Linked DNA regions of Alligator mississippiensis. The protein of the gene in region 1 purifies or fractionates together with the protein of each later gene. This does not show direct contact. Links are inferred from orthologs where the notes say so. Each region holds a gene or a part of one and is shown on either strand. Other genes may lie near its edges.

Evidence for each region.
Region 2: the proteins of RELB (region 1) and NFKBIE purify together in Homo sapiens (affinity purification with mass spectrometry; 3 studies listed by BioGRID and IntAct, counting the BioPlex papers as one, with this or other methods). This does not show direct contact. The link is inferred for Alligator mississippiensis from reciprocal best matches to the Homo sapiens genes RELB and NFKBIE.

What each region holds. Positions count from the first base shown.
Region 1 is NC_081838.1:226,538-234,920, forward strand, and holds the start of RELB (transcription factor RelB), read left to right. Parts: upstream 1-4,715; 5' UTR 4,716-4,789; coding exon 4,790-4,844; intron 4,845-4,923; coding exon 4,924-4,977; intron 4,978-5,343; coding exon 5,344-5,352; intron 5,353-6,389; coding exon 6,390-6,892; intron 6,893-7,300; coding exon 7,301-7,458; intron 7,459-8,287; coding exon 8,288-8,379; intron 8,380-8,383.
Region 2 is NC_081824.1:169,790,987-169,799,747, forward strand, and holds the start of NFKBIE (NF-kappa-B inhibitor epsilon), read right to left. Parts: upstream 3,945-8,761; 5' UTR 3,830-3,944; coding exon 3,525-3,829; intron 1-3,524. UniProt on the Homo sapiens protein: Sequesters NF-kappa-B transcription factor complexes in the cytoplasm, thereby inhibiting their activity. Sequestered complexes include NFKB1-RELA (p50-p65) and NFKB1-REL (p50-c-Rel) complexes.

The DNA.
Region 1 (8,383 bases):
ACCGAGGGAGATCCCGGCCCTGGCAGCAGGAGCTCATTTGAGTCGGGTGTCGCAACTCCCAGAGCCAAAGCTTGGCCCCATTTGATGGGGGTGTTGCCCTGACACCAGTGCCAGGGGTGGGAGAGGTGGCCGTGACACCTGGGGAGGCTGAGGCCAGCTCAAACTAGTGCCAGGGTCTGCGGACAAAGGGAGAGTGAGCTCAGTGCCAACATTTACAGAAATACCCAGATTTTTGGTGTCACGTGTTCTGCACGAAGCCCACGCAGCCTGGGCTGCGAGCACAGCGGAAGATGGGCAGCGTCGCGGTTAAGGACGAGGCTTGCTCGTGGCTCAAAGGCCAGTTTTTCTTAGTGCAGCCATTTAGATGTTCCTGAAAACCGCTCTGCCTTGCGAGGCTCTGCAGCCAGGCTAGCAAGTCAGACAGGGCCTTCTCGCGCACGGCTCCCCGTCCTGCCAAGCCAGGTGCCATCATAGAAGAGCCACGTCGCTTTTTGGTGCACAGTGTGGGTGGATGCAGGATTTTGAACAGTGGGGTGTGACGCACGTTTGTGTCTAGTTAAAGAAAAACTAGAGGCTTAACTAAGATGAATATACCTCCTCTGCTCGCACTTGTAGGGAGGCAGTTAGGCGGGCCAAGGCTACCATGGAGCTGAGGATGGCAACCCAAGTAAAGGACAACAAGAAATTGTTTTTTAGATACATAGGGAGTAAAAGGAAGGCCCAGGGAGGAATAGGACTGCTGCTAAATGGGCAGAAGCAATTGGTGACAGACAGGGGGGACAAGGCTGAACTCCTCAACGAGGTCTTTGCCTCAGTGTCCCTAAGCGAGGGGCACGACAAGTCTCTCACTGGGGTTGCAGAGAGGCAGCAGCAAGGCGCCAGACTGCCATGCGTAGACCCTGAGATGGTGCAGAGTCACTTGGAAGAACTGGATGCCTTTAAGTCGGCAGGCCCAGATGGGCTCCATCCGAGGGTGCTGAAGGCACTGGCCGACATCACTGCAGAGCCACTGGCGGGAATATTCGAACGCTCATGGCGCACGGGCCAAGTCCCGGAGGACTGGAAAAGGGCTAACGTGGTCCCCATTTTCAAGAAGGGGAGGAAGGAGGACCCGGGCAACTATAGGCCGGTCAGTCTCACCTCCATCCTAGGCAAAGTCTTTGAAAAAATTATCAAGGCTCACATTTGTGAGAGCCCGGCAGGGCAGATTATGCTGAGGGGAAACCAGCACGGGTTTGTGGCGGGCAGATCGTGCCTGACCAACCTAGTCTCTTTCTATGACCAGGTTACGAAACGCCTGGACACAGGAGGAGGGGTGGATGTTGTATACTTAGACTTCAGGAAGGCCTTCGATACGGTATCCCACCCCATACTGGTGAACAAGTTAAGAGGCTGTGACGTGGATGACTGCACGGTCCGGTGGGTGGCGAATTGGCTAGAGGGTTGCACCCAGAGAGTCGTGGTAGATGGGTCGGTCTCGACCTGGAAGGGTGTGGGCAGTGGGGTCCCGCAGGGCTCGGTCCTTGGACCGATACTCTTTAATGTCTTCATCAGCGACTTGGACGAGGGAGTCAAATGTACTCTGTCCAAGTTTGCAGACGACACAAAGCTATGGGGAGAAGTGGACACGCCGGAGGGCAGGGAACAGCTGCAGGCAGACCTGGATAGGCTGGACAAGTGGGCAGAAAACAACAGGATGCAGTTCAACAAGGAGAAATGCAAAGTGCTGCACCTAGGGAGGAAAAATGTCCAGCACACCTACAGCCTAGGGAATGACCTGCTGGGTGGCACAGAGGTGGAGAGGGATCTTGGAGTCCTGGTGGACTCCAAGATGAACATGAGCCAGCAGTGTGACGAAGCCATCAGAAAAGCCAATGGCACTTTATCGTGCATCAGCAGATGCATGACGAATAGGTCCAAGGAGGTGATACTTCCCCTCTATCGGGCGCTGGTCAGACCGCAGTTGGAGTACTGCGTGCAGTTCTGGGCACCACACTTCAAGAAGGATGCGGATAACCTGGAGAGGGTCCAGAGAAGGGCCACTCGTATGGTTAAGGGCCTGCAGACCAAGCCCTACGAGGAGAGACTAGAGAAACTGGACCTTTTCAGCCTCCGCAAGAGAAGGGTGAGAGGCGACCTTGTGGCTGCCTATAAGTTCATCATGGGGGCACAGAAGGGAATTGGTGAGGTTTTATTCACCAAGGCGCCCCTGGGGGTTACAAGAAATAATGGCCACAAGCTAGCAGACAGCAGATTTAGATTGGACATTAGGAAGAACTTCTTCACAGTTCGAGTGGCCAAGGTCTGGAACAGGCTCCCAAGGGAGGTGGTGCTCTCCCCTACCCTGGGGGTCTTCAAGAGGAGGTTAGATGAGTATCTAGCTGGGGTCATCTAGACCCAGCACTCTTTCCTGCTTATGCAGGGGGTCGGACTTGATGATCTATTGAGGTCCCTTCCGACCCTAACATCTATGAATCTATGAAGATGCCAGGGACCTAGCACTGTGTTATTCTGTTTAAGATTAAAGCAAAAACAAATGTCATTTTTCCATGATTTAAATGAAACACCACTAATATATAGGTAGCTATATATTAGTGGTGTTTCATTTAAATCATGGAAAAAATGTTGATTTGGGGGTTGGTTTTTTAACCGAAAATGGGGGATTTTTTTTAAATCAGTGAAAACCAGGATCCCTGGTCATTAGTCTTGTAGCTTTTATAGTTAAATATGCATTTCTTACCCAGATTTGTAAAACAACATGTAGTATCCCTGAGCATCTTAACATCGTCTCCAGTACTTCACTGTGTCAGTCATTTCTAGACAAGTCAATCGCACTACCTCTGAGTTAAAATTTTCAGCTTGAACTAAAAACAGCCTACAGGGCTGCAAAATGGGAGAGAAGTTCCAGGAATGGCTAACAGGCATCAGTGCTGCAGAAGGAAGGAGAGTTTGAATAGTGAAACCTCAGGACTGTTCACAGGGAGAGAGTGGTTCACACCTGTGGAATGAAGAGCTATTAGGAGAGTATAATGGGCCATGAAGTCAGTTGATTCCCTCAGCTCTGCCAGAGGAGAAATGCCTCTGAGCTACCTGCAGCTACAGCCCTCCCCGGCCTTGCATCAGTGGAGGCAGGCTGGGCTCACTTAGTCCAGAGGCAGCTCAGATGCAGCCCCCTCTGCCCAAGGAAGTGACTGGGGAAAGCGCCACTCTGTGCCACGTACGTGCTCTGGGAGCCCAGCACGATGGTGCTGCCAGATGGGACAGGGAGGCTGGTCTCTGAGGTCATTTGATTTAGTGGTTCTCGGCCTTCTGCTATGATCAAGTATGACTGGGGGCATCCGATCCCCAGGCCTCCTGGCTCAGGACTTGTCTGTAGCTTGGCCACCTGGATACGGGGAACATCTAGACTCCCAGGTCTATGGGTCTGGGGGAGGTTGTCAGTGGGTGGCCCATGGATCTTTGCAGACAGTTACTGAGACGCAGAACTGAATTGGCACTTGGATTAGATTAAGAACTGGATTCATTTGCCCCCCCCTCCCCCCCCCGACACACACATTACACAAGGTCTCTGATGCAGGCGCCTGGTGCAAGGTTCTGCAGTGTGGTTGCAACCAAGGGGGTGTCAGATCCAGCTTCCTCATTGGGAGTTGATTTTCTGGTCACCTGTGCCTGGTGAGCCAGTCTGGAAGCTGGTCCCCCCTCCATGGGCTGGGTGGGGAGAGTGGGTTGGGGGTGGGAAGGAGGCAGGCCATGCTTCTCAGAGCACCTCCGAGCCTCCCGGGAGATCAGAGCGGCATGTGCTCTCCGCTGCAGAACCTGTGTGTGCCCCTCCCACGCCAGGGAAAGTGGAGGCTGGGGCTCCTTGGCTGGTTACCAGTCAGTGTTTCCAGGTCCCCCGGACTCCACGTGCTGACTCAGGCTGGGGCACTGCCTCGTGGCACCCTTCCCCCATGCCCCGTCCGCCCACCCACCCTCATTCCCAGGCCCTTCTGGCTTCACCGGGGGCTGAGGAACCAGCTGTGCCTTCTAGTCCTGTGCTGCTCTCACCTCTTCCCAAGGCACAGGGGAACTGAGAGCCCAGAGCCTCGGTGAGCGCTGAGCTCGGGTGTTGAGCATGGCTTTGCCCCCCAGGGCAGTCAGGGCACTTGGATCCCAGCACCGGAGCCAGGAGCTCTGCTGCTCTCTGCTGTGCCAGCTCAAGGCAAGAACGGCCTGCCGCGGCTCCCTGGACAGGTATCATGGGCTGCGGCTGCGGTGGGCACGAGGCTGCCCTGACCCCCAGCTGGCTACGTCTGGTGTCTGCTGCCCCAGGGACTGCGGGGCGGCCAGGCGTTCCCAGCCCTGCTGACACGGCCCTGGGGAGACGCCGCCTGCACTGGGCTCCGTCCTGCCGTGCTCGCAAGGGCCCACCGCTCAGCCCAGGGCACAGCCTGTGTGTGCCCCGTGCCCGTGTCCGTGTCCGGGCTCGGCTGCCCCATGCCCTGCCCAGGGCCAGGGCACAGCTGCCCCGCTCCCCGGCGTTCAGGAGCTCCGGCCCGGAGCCCCCGGCCCCGGCGGCCGTGCATCGGGCTCCGGTTCCCCTGGCGCGGGGGCGCGAGGCTGCGGCGGCCCCCCGGGCGCGGGGCTTTCCCCGCCGGGCGATGAGCTCAGCGCGGGGCGCAGCCAATGGCAGCGGCGGCGGAGCCGGGGATTTCCAGCGCCGCCGCCTCCGCGCTGCCCCCGGCGCGGCCCGGCGCGGCCCGGCCCGGCTCGGCGCGGCACGGCGCGGCGCGGCGCGGCTCGGGAGGCGATGCGGCAGCCCCGGGGGCGGCAGCAGCGGCGGGAGCGGGGGCCTCTGCCGCCAGGTGAGGCGCGGGGCCGCTGGGCGGCGGGCGCGGGGCCGCCCCGGGCAGGCGCGGGGTAACGGGCCTCGTGTCTCCGCAGGAGCCGCCGCCCCGGACCGCGGCCCGGCCATGGCGCAGGCGTCGCACGCGGACGGTGAGGGCCGGGGGCTCCGCTTCGCGCCGCGCCGCGCGGCCCCGTTTCACAGCAGGGGGGACTGAGGCAGGCAGCTCCCGGGGCGGAGGAGCTTTTGCTCCGGGGCCGCGGGCATCTCGGGCCCTCTGCATGCCCCCTGGCCCCCGCAGCAGAGGGATCCTGGGGGCTTCCTGCGCTGCCCCACGACAGCCTCAGCCCCCGTCCCCAGGAGCTCTCCCAGAGCAGGGGCAGCGCCGGGCGCTGGGCTTGGTGCCCGGGGGCTCCTGCCAGCCCTGGGTCCTGGCGGGTGGCTGGGCTCCTGGGCAGGGGGAGGGAGAGCAGCCGCCTGCGCCAAACTAGAGCCAGCCTCTCCTTTCTCTTCTGCAGAGGATTTAGGTGAGTGACCTCTGGGCGTGGGGGTGCGGCAGGAGCAGGTACGTGCAGCCCTGGGGCTTGCCAGGGCGGTCGCAGCCTGCGGGACCCGCTGGCTGGCGTGACGGTGACAGGGGACGGCGGTGCAGTCTGTGGGGTCGGGGCAGCTTCCAGCCCCTGCGCCCCCCTGCCCAGAGCCCAGGCCAGGGGACCCGTAGGTGCTGCCAGCTGCTGCAAGGCCATGGAGACGGGAGAAGCTTGCCGGCCCCCGCGGAGCCCTGGGGTCTGGGCAGGAGTGATTCCCCCGATGCGGCTCCACCTCTGCCTTCGGGCCTGTCCTCTTGGTGCCATGATGCAGGAGCTGGGCTGGGGCAGAGGAGCCCTACCCTAGGCAGACACGGAGCAAAGGCCACTCGCTGGCTGCCGCAGGTGCTGGCAGCGCCCTTTGCTGGGCGCTCGGGGAAGCGAGGCTGTGCCCAGCCCCTGCCCCTTCTCCTTCCACATCCACCTGGCAGCAGAAGCCTTGGCCGACTCAGCCTGGCTCCCCTGGGCTGGGTATGCCCTTGCCTGCAGTTCAGGCCAGCGACCCTGGCGCGCAGTTACTGACTGCTGTCGCAGGGCTTCATCTACACTAGGGGAGGAGTGTCCTGCTGGGAGGTGTTGGGTGGGGCCCGGGACTACTTCTAGCAGTGCCCTGGGCATGCCCATGCTGCAGCAGCCAGGCTGGAAGATGCCCCCCTCCCTCCCTCCCTGAGATTGAGTCCCTGGATCAGCTCCCCTGCTGCAGGGGCTGGGTGGTGCTGGAGCTCAGGCCAGCGGCTTTGCCCACATCTGTTACCTGGCAGCAGGCACGTGCCGGGAGGAAGGCGGGCATTGTGGCAGTGTGTGCAGGGCAGGGCTCAGAGGCCAGGGTGGGCAGCCCTGTGCATGGCTGTGGCTGGCAGAGGGCTCCTGCCACCACATCCCAATGCTGCCTGTGACTCGTGCCAACCCCTGGCTGCTCCCGCTGCCCCCGGGCAAGTCTCTGCAGCTGTGCCCTGATGGTGCCCCCCCCACCACAGAGATCATTGAGGAGCTGATGAAGGAGGATGGATTCCAGCCGGATGCCCCGTCCTTCCTGCCCAGGCCTATGCCCAAGGGCCCGGCCAAGTTGGTGCCCCGGGGCTCGAGCCCCATGGTGCCCACGAGATCGCTGCGCCACTCACAGCCTCTGGGGTCCGGCTCGCTGCCAGGGACTCTGGGGCCCTTTGGAGACTCCCCCCTGCTGCCACCTGTCTCCCGGGGCCCCCAGCTCACCCAGAGCCTGGGCAACCTGACGCTGTCGCCGAGGCTGGTGCCACGGGGGACGCCGCTCCCGTCCACCGCCGCGCCCGCCCAGCACCACTGGTCCATGCCCACGGCCAAGGAGCAGCTGGAGGACATGCTGGAGCCGCCCAAGCTGGTGATCACAGAGCAGCCGAAGCAGCGGGGCATGCGCTTCCGCTATGAGTGTGAGGGCCGGTCAGCTGGCAGCATCCTGGGCGAGAGTAGCACTGAGGCCAGCAAGACCCTGCCAGCCATCGAGGTGAGGAGGGGGCAGGGCACTGGGCAGGGGCCCTGTGCTCACCCCCTGCCCCCAATAGCTCCTGCTGGACAGCCAGGCAGGCCTGGCTGGGTTACCCCTCCTCCCCTCCCACCCCCACGATGGGGTAGGACCCTGGACCCAGGCACCATCACATCTCCCCCAGCCAGGGGCAAGTGTGGGGGCACCTCTGGACCCTGTGCTCCACTTTCTCGTACAATGAGAACTGGACTTCCCGCTGGAACAGGGCTGAGCTGTTTGGCCTGGCCTGGCCGCAGGGGACCCAACCTGCCCTGGGAGAGGGGCTGGGAGCCCCCTGTCCAGGGTGGGGGCCTGGTTTCTCTCCCTGTTATCCCTGTATCAGCCTCCCCCACCCCATCCCCCTGCAATGAGCCTCTGGCGTCTCCCCAGTTGCTGAACTGCCAGAAGATCCCAGAGGTGAAGGTGACGGCCTGCCTGGTGTGGAAGGACTGGCCGTTCCGTATCCACCCCCACGGCCTTGTGGGCAAGGACTGCAGCAATGGGCTCTGCGAGGTCACCCTCAAGCCCCAGACCAACCCCAAGCACAGGTACCAGCCGCGCAGCCCTGGGGGTTGGGAGACTCCTCCACATGGCCCCGTCCCGGGGGTGGCCTAGGCTCGGTATCTGGGGCCCTTGGACAGTCGTGGCCTGACAGCGATTTCCCAGTGCTGTGGCTTCTTCCTCGCTGTTCCCTGCCCTTGGGCTAGAACGGAGCCCCTGGCACCCCAGCCCCTGTCTGCTGGAGGAGCCGGAGCTGCGGTGCCCCGGGCTCCGTCCCGCTGGCTGGGGACCAAGCACCTCCCAGGAGCTGCTGCCAGGGGTTGGGGTGGGAGAGCCAGGTGGTTCGGGGTCCTGGCCCTGGGACCAGAGCAGCCCCTCCTAGGTTGCAGCCTAGGGGCACACACCAAGCCAGGGGGCCCCATGCGGAGGTGGAGGCCTGTCCAGGCAGGGCAGAGGCATGGGTACAGGGTCGGAGGGGCCTGGGGGTGTCCCCGTGAGGCCTTGGTGGGCTCCCAGATCCCCTCAGAGCTCCTCCCACCTGGCCTCTCAGCTGGCTGCCATGTGGGGAAGGTGAAGGGGCCCTGTGGAGCTGGGGCCAGGCAGAAGGTGGGGACTGGGCATCCCCGTGTCTCTCTCTGGGCCTGGGAGAGCTCTGAAGGAGGCAGAGGGATCGGAGGAGGAGCCCCAGGGGGAACCATGCTCAGTAGTGGCTGGACCAGTGGGGCCAGGGCTGGGGCTGGCATGGCCCCTGGGTGCTACATGGCAGCACCCCATGCAGTGGTGCCCCCTCCGTGGCTGAGGGCAGGGAAGGAGGGCAGCTCATGAGCACAACGGAGCTTGGCCAGCCTCCAGCCCATGCCCTCTTGGCCCTGGCAGCTTCAGCAATCTCGGCATCCAGTGTGTGAAGAAGAAGGAGATCGAGGGAGCCATCGAGAAGAAGCTACAGCTGGGCATCGACCCCTTCAAAGGTGG
Region 2 (8,761 bases), on another chromosome or scaffold:
CCCATAGGAAACTCCATGGAAGGACAGTGCTGGCTGGCAAAGGCACTAGGCCCTACAGCTCACACAAAGCATCACCAACCGGGAGCATGCTGCTTCATGCCAGGTTCAGTCCTGAATCGGCAGAGGCAACTGAGGAAACAGGAACTAGAAGCTAAAAGCCCAGAACTTGTCTTTTTTCAGAATTACAATGGTTACAAGGAAGTGATATTGCCCAATGGAGCCTACTGAGAAATAATGAGATTACGGTTTGAATCCTAGCTTGAGGTCTGCTGCACTGGAGGCGAGCCAGCAAGTCGCACAAGGCAGGAGCTATCTTCCCGCTGCTGTTGGGTCATGAGCTAAGGTGCAAGGGAATGCTGTGGGTCAGTGGGTCTGCCTCTGCAGCTGAAGGAAAGCTAGCCATGCAGTGCACTTGCTGCTTCCACCCAAAGGCCTCTAAACACTTCCCTGACGAAGGGACTTTGATCCTGAAAGCTTGCAGAAAAGGACAATTTTCTTGCCATTTTCCAATTGGTCTAATAAAAGGTATCATTTTGGAACCAAGAGTTCTAGTTTTTGTATGTCTAAACACTTCACAAACATTTGTTAGTTGGACTTGATCAGTTCCAATTTACACACAGGAAAATAAGGGACTAGAAGAAGGCCGGGGCAGAGCAGACTCCCTGCCCGAATCACTAGAACACTCCTAGAGCTGGGAAGAGAACCCAGAAGTGCGGATTCCCCATCCCTCTTCTCAGCATTAAACTACCCCACTCCACCTCACTTTGGCTACATAAGTAGCAACCATTCCATCCCCTGTCCCCCCCACGCACTCTTTAGATTTCCTGTTTTAAACTGCATTGTAAGTAAGCAAAAACAGAAGAGCAGCTGCAGCCATTTGGAGAGCCTCTGCGCAGCCACCTCCTGATGGGAGGGAGCAAAAGGCAGCAGCAGCTAGCCCAAACTGACCACCCAGTGGAGTCTGAAGATAAGAGCAGGCAGCTTAGCTGACCTAAACCAGCATAGAAGACATTTGAATCCGAGTGAAATGAGTTCAGTGGTTTGCTGCCTAACACCTGGAGGACACCCGATCATGTGTTTGCCCCTCCTATTAATGGGAGGTTTGGATCAGGCTCTGGACAAGCTGGTTTGACAAGCAACTGGCTCAGTCACCCCTACAAAAGATGGGATCAAACCCCTCCCCCCCAAATCAATTGAAGCATTTACAACCAAAATCACCCCAGGGACACAATGGGGAAGGGAAACTGGCAGTCACCAAATGCACCACAGACTCACAGGCCTTGGGGCTTGCCCTTACAGGGAAAGTTACTCATTTTAGTTGTATCTTGCTTAAGTGTATCCACGCAGGCAGTTATGCCAGTGCAACTGAAGTGATCACGTCGGGCATGGAAATTTCCCTGTGTGGGCTACAATGTCCAGATGAGAAAATAAAGAGTAACCAATGCTTGAACCATGCTGGGGGTGGCGGGAGGGGACACGGTTTCATTTAACCTGGCTTGGATGAGGTTTGCTGCAAGGCTGTCAGTCTTCTCAGCATGTCCCACAACACACAGGAATGGACTAATTAGCACATGCCTTCTTCCCAACCAGGAAATAAACACATAGCTGAGATGAGACCAGCTTTTATCAAGCAAGAAGCACCTCCTTGGGTGAGCCCAAGATCCTCCCTCTCTGCAGCTAACAGGACCTTTGATTCTCTGCTACAGACATCTTGTTCAGTGGCTTCTGTCCCCCTCCAGTTTCTCTTCCTCCTGTACCATTATTCAGTACTGTATTCAACTCTGGCCTGCATCCAGGCTGTGGACCAACATTTCAGCTATTCAAGCAGCTAAGACACTCATACACATGCTCTTTGATTTTGTGATGGAAACATCCTGACAAGGTAAAGGGTAACAGGAAAAAGGAGCAATTAGCTGAACTCAGTTACCAGAAGCCAAAGCAAACAGGTTCAATACGGTGCGTCTGCACCACGCACTGATGTGCAATTAGGTCCTCAAAGACAAAAGGCACCAAAAGCTGTAGCAGAGAAGCAGCAGAGATGCAGGATAAGGCCAGTGCCTCTTCAGGAACTTACGTTACAGAGTCATCAAAATTCACGCTGCTTTGGTCATAGACCCCACAAAGCAGACGGGCTAGCTGCACATGAGGATTTACATTCAGAAACCAGCCACATCAAGAGACTCGTAGTTGTTCCCTAGCAAGGCTCCAACCCACAGAAGAGGTGGGAGCTAGGCTCCCCTCTACATAACTGATTTTCCTCAGGTAATCATCTCATGCAGCCAAGCCATTCACTTGGCAAATGAAGCTTTGTGCTTTGGTGGATGAAAAGAACACTTATTTTTTTTCCTTTTGACGTAGAACCCCCCCCGCCACCTTCCATTTTTCCTGGCAGCCGCTGAATAGGCCGAAACTCAAACTTTGCACTGTGATGTGTGTTTCTGTATTGCTCTGACTGTTCACCCCACCCGGAACCCCAACTTTGCATTTCCCGCAACTCTGAGCGGCAAATGGATTGGAGCGGCTTCTTCCCCCCGCCCCCGTCCCCACTTGTTCCGTTTACTTGGCTCAATTGTAGAGTCCCTGGTAAACGACCAGCATATTTCACTAGGACCAAAAAAAACAAACCCTGAAAACCTGAGAGAGAGAACATGATGGCCCCGGGGTACCAGGAGGTGGAACATGTCCTGCCTAGTCATTAGCTACAGCCTGGTTTGGGCAGGGGGGTCTCTGGACTAAGGGATGGGAGCTAACCTGCATGGTCAGTACTTACAGTCTGGCTTGGGGGGTGTACAGAGCAGGGACAGAACCTTTCCCGCACGGTCACTACTTGCACTCTGCTTGGGGGTCTATGGGCCAGGGGAGGGCATCTTTCCTGCCTGGTCACCCGTTGCAGCCTGGTTTGGGGGGTCCATGGACCAGGGATGGGACCTTTCCCCCATGGTCACTAGCTACCACTGGCGTGGAGATCTATGGGCGGGGCGGGGGAAGATCTTTCCTGCCTGGTCACCAGTTGCAGCCTTGTTTGCTGGGAGTGTCTATGGACCAGGGATCACCAGTTGCAGCCTGGCTTAGGGGTCCATGGGACCTTTCCCCTGTGGTCACTAGCTACAAACCTGCATAGAGATATAAGGGGGGGGGGGGGGGAATCTTTCCTGCCTGGTCACCACCTGCAGCCTGGTTTGGGGAGACCTAAGGACCAAGGTCTATGAACCAGGGATCAGAATGAACCTTTGCTCCGTGGTCACTAGCTATGACCCGGCATGGAGATCTATGGGCCAAGGAAGAGAATCTTTCCTGCCTGGTTTGGCGGTCCATGGACCAGAGGATGGGACCTTTCCTGCCTGGCCACCAGTTACTCCTGGGGAGGGGACCCATCTGAAAAAAAAAATAAGAAAAGACCCCCTAAACCCAGGGAACTTTCCATCTTGAGGCTGGCGGCGGCGGCAGCGAGCCACCTCCGCAGCCGCCCGTCCCCCGTGCCAGCCGGGCCGTGGCCGCGCTGTCTGCCAAGCCGCGGCACTCACGTGTCTCCATCCTCCGAGATGTAGGCGAGCGCCTCCAGCTGCTGGTGGCTCAGGCCGTGCAGGGCGCCGCGCTCCTCGGGCTGCGGCGGCGGCGCGAGGGCGGACAGGGGCTCGGTGAGCGAGGCGGAGCCGTAGCTGGAGTCCACGCGCTCCTCGGCTTCCAGTGCCTCCTTGCCAGGGCCGCGCGGCTCGTCCCGGGGCCCCGCGGCGGGCAGCGAGCGCAGCGAGCGCAGCGAGTCGATGCCCGAGTCGCACTGCCCCTCCTCGGCCTCCGCCGGCCCCTTGCAGCCCTCGGCCCGCGACATGGTGCGGCGCACGGCTCACAGCAGCCCGGCCCCAGCCCGGGAGCCCGGCGGGGCACTCATGGCTGGCAGCGGCCGAGCTGCACCCCCGGCTCCTCCTTCGGGCCTGAGTCACCGCCGCCCGGGATTCCCCCGGCTCCGCCCCGCCCCGCCCGGGGAGGCGCGGCGCGGGGCTGGGCTGGCTCCTCGCTGCCTCTGAGGAGCTGGTGGACGCTGCTCCGGGCAACGGAGGGTTGCCAACCCTCCCTGAGTCTCCAGGGATGAATCAGAGAGAAATCTCCAGGACACTGCTGAGAGTCACCTGGAGAGAAACGATAGGGCGTTCGTTCAAATTAATACGATGGGTCGAATCCGATTTATACAGTAGTCCAGCGGGTTTTTAAATGTCATGGTAGTGCACGTTTGCCGCCCTGACGTAAAGCCTAAGCACCCTAATCCAGAACTGATCAGTGCCTGCGCGCAGGTCATTGGCGTTGTGTTGCAGTCGTTGGTGTGCCTGAAACTGTCCGGAATAGATTCGAACAGAGTTGGCAACCCTAGTGAAACTCCCCACAGACGGGCTTGTTTGATGAGCCAGGAAATGTGAGTCTAGGCCCAGCAAGTAAAGCTGAAAAGCACCCCCTTAAGAAGGGGGGTCATTAAGAGCACATCAGTGAGTGTTTGGGATGCATGACAGGCAGAACAGGGAGGGAAAGGGCGGTCAAAGTTTTAAAATGAGGGTGCCAAAGGAGGACATGGAGCAGAACACACTTGGCAGCACCCACTAGCCCTCAAATGTGTCCAAGGAGCCAGTGGATGCTGCTCAGTGAAACTCGGCCTGGAGACAGGCCTGTTTGATGATGAGCCAGGGAACATGGGCCTAGGCCTGCCAAGGCAAACAATGGCCACTGGAGGCCACTGGGCACAGCAACAGATTCCTTGAGACAAATGGAAAACAAAACAGGGACGGGAGTGAAGGCACAGGTTCATGATGAGTGCACCAAGAGGAGACTCAAAGCAGAGCACATCAACCAGCCAGCACCTGCTGGCTCCCCAGTGCATCCAAGGAGCCGGTGGATGCTGCCCAGTGAAACTGCTCAGAGATGGGCCTGTTTGATGAGCCAGAGAACATGAACCTAGGCCTACCAAGGCAATTTATGAGCCTCCCTTGCTAAGGGAGGTCAGTGGGCACACCAACAGATTCCTTGGGGCAAATGAAAAACAAGACAGGGATGGGAGCGAGGGCACAGGTTCATGATGAGTGGTGCACCAGTGGGGTATGTAGAGCAGTACACACCAGCCAGCACCCACTGTCCCCCAAACAAGTCCAAGGAGCCAGTGGACACACCCCAGTGAAACTGCCCAGAGATATAAACAGATCAGGGACAGGAAAACGGCTCTGCAGTCCTCAGGGATTCCCCCTCACCAGAGCCTCCTTCCTGGTCAGGTGTATTGCTCTGGTTTCATTCAGGAGGGGACTAGCTAACCAGGTGTTTCCTTAGCTGGCACCTGAGGAGGATGTGGCCCTTTCCTTGGAGCTCTGGAAGGTATTTTAACACCCCCTGGCAGCAGCAGGATGGTGCCTGCCACAATCCCCCTGCTTTATCTGTGAGCATGAGTAGATCTAGGATTTTGAAAAGTGGGGTGCAAGTGGTGAGAGGCATCAACTCCCATAACACAATACATATTTTGCTCCAGTTATAAAGAAACTAGAAGCTTTACTGATAGGCTAGGGTCCAGGCCTGTATTATGCAGTTGAAGATGGAAGCAAAAACAAATGGGACCTCACTGGAAGGAGTTAAGATCTGCAGGGCTGTGAAATAAGAGCATCCTCCCTAGGAGCAGTGAACAGACAACAGCATTGCAGAACAAAGGATAGCTTGATTGATGAAACATCAAGACCATTATAAAAAAGAGGGAGTCATTAACACTGGTGGAATGAAGGGTTCCCCCATCCCATCTAAGAACCCATCTGTAGATTATAATGAACCATGAAGTCAATTGACTCCCTCAGTGCCACCTGACTAGGAATGCTGCTACCACTGCCAGGCAGTTGGTTTTAAACTTTGGAGGGGGGCAGGAATAAAAGGGGGTGCAAGTGCACCCCTTTTAATCTACCCCTGCCTGTGACAGGTTGGGTTGCTATGTCTTGTGGTTGTGTTGGGGTGAACCAGCTAGTTTTGCTAATAGGTGGTTCCCAATCTGTGGTACGGATACCACCAGTGGTATGCAGGCAACCTGGCAGTGGTACACATTAACAGATTTATTATAATTACTTTATATGACAAAAAATTGCTGGTGGTACTTAAGGTTGGACTGAAAAATTTGCTGGTGGTACTTAAGGCTGTATTGTTTAAAATTGGTGGTGTGCAACTGTCAGAGTTTGGGAACTGCTGGATTCTCAACCAAGGTGCCACAGCACCCTGCGGTGCCTTGAGACCCTTTCAAGGGTGCCATGGGATGCCACATGATGTTAGCCCTGTCAGGTGAGCACACGTGATGCACAGGATAAACCCAGAGATTTAAAATAGGAATCCAGAGTGTTAAAACCATTTTGACCAGTTTGGGTCCTTCTGAGAGGTCTTTGCAACAAAAGAATTGCTCTGTTGTTTTCCTGTAGTCAAAAAATTAGTGAAAAGTAAGAGCTGGCATTTTCCAAGGGGGGCCTCGAGTCTAAGAGGGATGCCTTGAGCTAAACTAGAGGTGCCTTCAGTTTAAAAAAGGTTAAAACCCACTGGGTTAGACAATGGATAGTTTGGATAGGAATGATCCTGCCTCAGGCAGGGAGTTGGACTCACTAGATGACCTCTGAAGGCCTCTTGCAGCCCTGCTTTTCTATGATTATGTGTGTTGTTACTGATAGTAATTTACACTGAACCACATAGTGTTTTATACCAGCCATAACCAACTTGGAACCTGGTGGATTCCATAGACTCCACCGGGCAAGCTTAAAAAGAAACTCGTCTGCAATTTTTCCTGCTTCTGGCGGGGTCTGTCTATGTGAGCATGAGCAACAAGGACTGTATCCCAATGTGGCTGTGTGTGCCAGACACATGCTCTATGTGGTGTTTCTGAGTGATCATTTCCTCCCCTGGATTACATTTGTTCAGGATCTGACACTTGCCTCTGTTTATTATTGTCGGTTCTTTAAATATCAGGCAAGTTTGCTGTGGGAGTGAGAAGGATCTTGCCAGGCCCAGCAGAGTTGTGACTTGACTGTGACATACACAGGTACTGACTGAACCCTGGTGGGTGGAGAAAAACTAAACTGAATACATGATTTAAGAACTTTGCTTTACCTACAGAGGGAGGTATCAGGAAAGCTTTAATATAGGGAACTGCAGCAAATCCTTCTTCAGCTTTATGTCATTATTTGTTGGAGGCTATGACACGGAGGGGTGAACTGACTCACCCAAGGTCATGTGGCTCACTAATAAAAAATTATCAAAGGTTTCCCTAACCCTAGCAGCCCACTGAGCTAGCATGATTACAGCACACCAGCTTCTGGGGCCAATGGCACACAAAGATTGGTATAGCTGACAGCACATCTTACCACCCTTGATTCCCCAGGCCAAGTGACCAGGTATTCATTCATGGCCAAGCCAAGTGGGGAGCAGCCTTTTGCATGAGTTCAGAGAGAAACTCACACCACTTGAGTCAGCAGGATACATCACCTGCTCTGCCACTGGCCCCCCTACAGCTTGGGAGAAAACAACGTGTGGGAGTTCTTGAGCCCAAACAGGAGCTATGTCCACTACCTCTTACTCTCCAGCTTCAGCTTAGCTATAAATGAGAACTCACAAATCTAATCTAGGCCATCATCCTCACTGCAAACGTGACTGATCTGTACAACAGATTTGTCATGATCAAGTCCAGTTACATTTCCACTGTCCCAAGCAAGCACAGGGAAAGTCTAGTAGCAGACCTTGTTACCGGAACACTTCTCTGGAGGTTCAGCCCTGTCTCCTTTTGCCCAGCAATCCCATGTCACTCCTAGTTATTTTCTCTTGAAGCCCTCAAGGCACTTCTCTTCCTGGAGGTTTTCACTTTTCAAGGGCCTGAAGACAGATCTTTCCAATAAGAGGGTGTGCCTGGGAGAGCTGATAATTCCACCAGGCATGTCTTTAGTCCCTTTGCCAGCTGATTTGAGAAGCACCTTACTCCTTTGGGGATCAGTGCTAAGGAAGCCAATACAGATCAGACTGTATGCAAAACTCAACTTCCCCTTGCATTGCTATGTCTGTTGCTATGAGATGGCATGAGCGTGCGTCATAGCTGCTCACATCAGCCATTCAGGCATTTACCCAGAGCCCTTGCTGTGTGCAAGCTAAACAAGAAAACAGTGACCACATATTAGTGGAGGTCAGCGGGCAGACTCCGGAAGCTGGTGGTACCATCAGTAACTTTCAGTCACAAGTTTTCCTCTTGCTCATGTGATTCATCTCACTATGTCAGTGTCCCTGCTTTAGATTCTGTTTCTTCAGAGTCTGGGTCTGCCCTAAAGTACCCGTGGCTGACCCTCCTATCCCCTCTGGTGCAAGGTTAAATAATCTTCATGTCCCAGATCTAGAATACAACCTTCTTAACTCAATCCTGGATCTGAGGTCCTCCTGAGAGAGTGTCCTGTGCAGGCTCCTTCATATTAGCACATCAGTAGAAGTCCCTGAAAAGTCCCTCAGGAAACACCTGACAGTAGGGGAAGAACAGGCAACTCTGAAAACATGCCATGTCCTTCCTGATGTGATGCAGGAACCAGCCCTCCCAATCTTTTTCAGCTGCAGTCAGTAGTACAGGCACATGTCCTTCAGGGAATACCCATCCCCGATGCCCATGAATTGTGCGTCCTGAGCATCTCTGCATTCCAGTAGGTGGCTTCCATTCCCCGGATATGAGTGAATCTTTTCAAGAGGCTTGGGGGCAGGAGGGTGGGGGGAGAATCATATCTAGGAGGCTGTA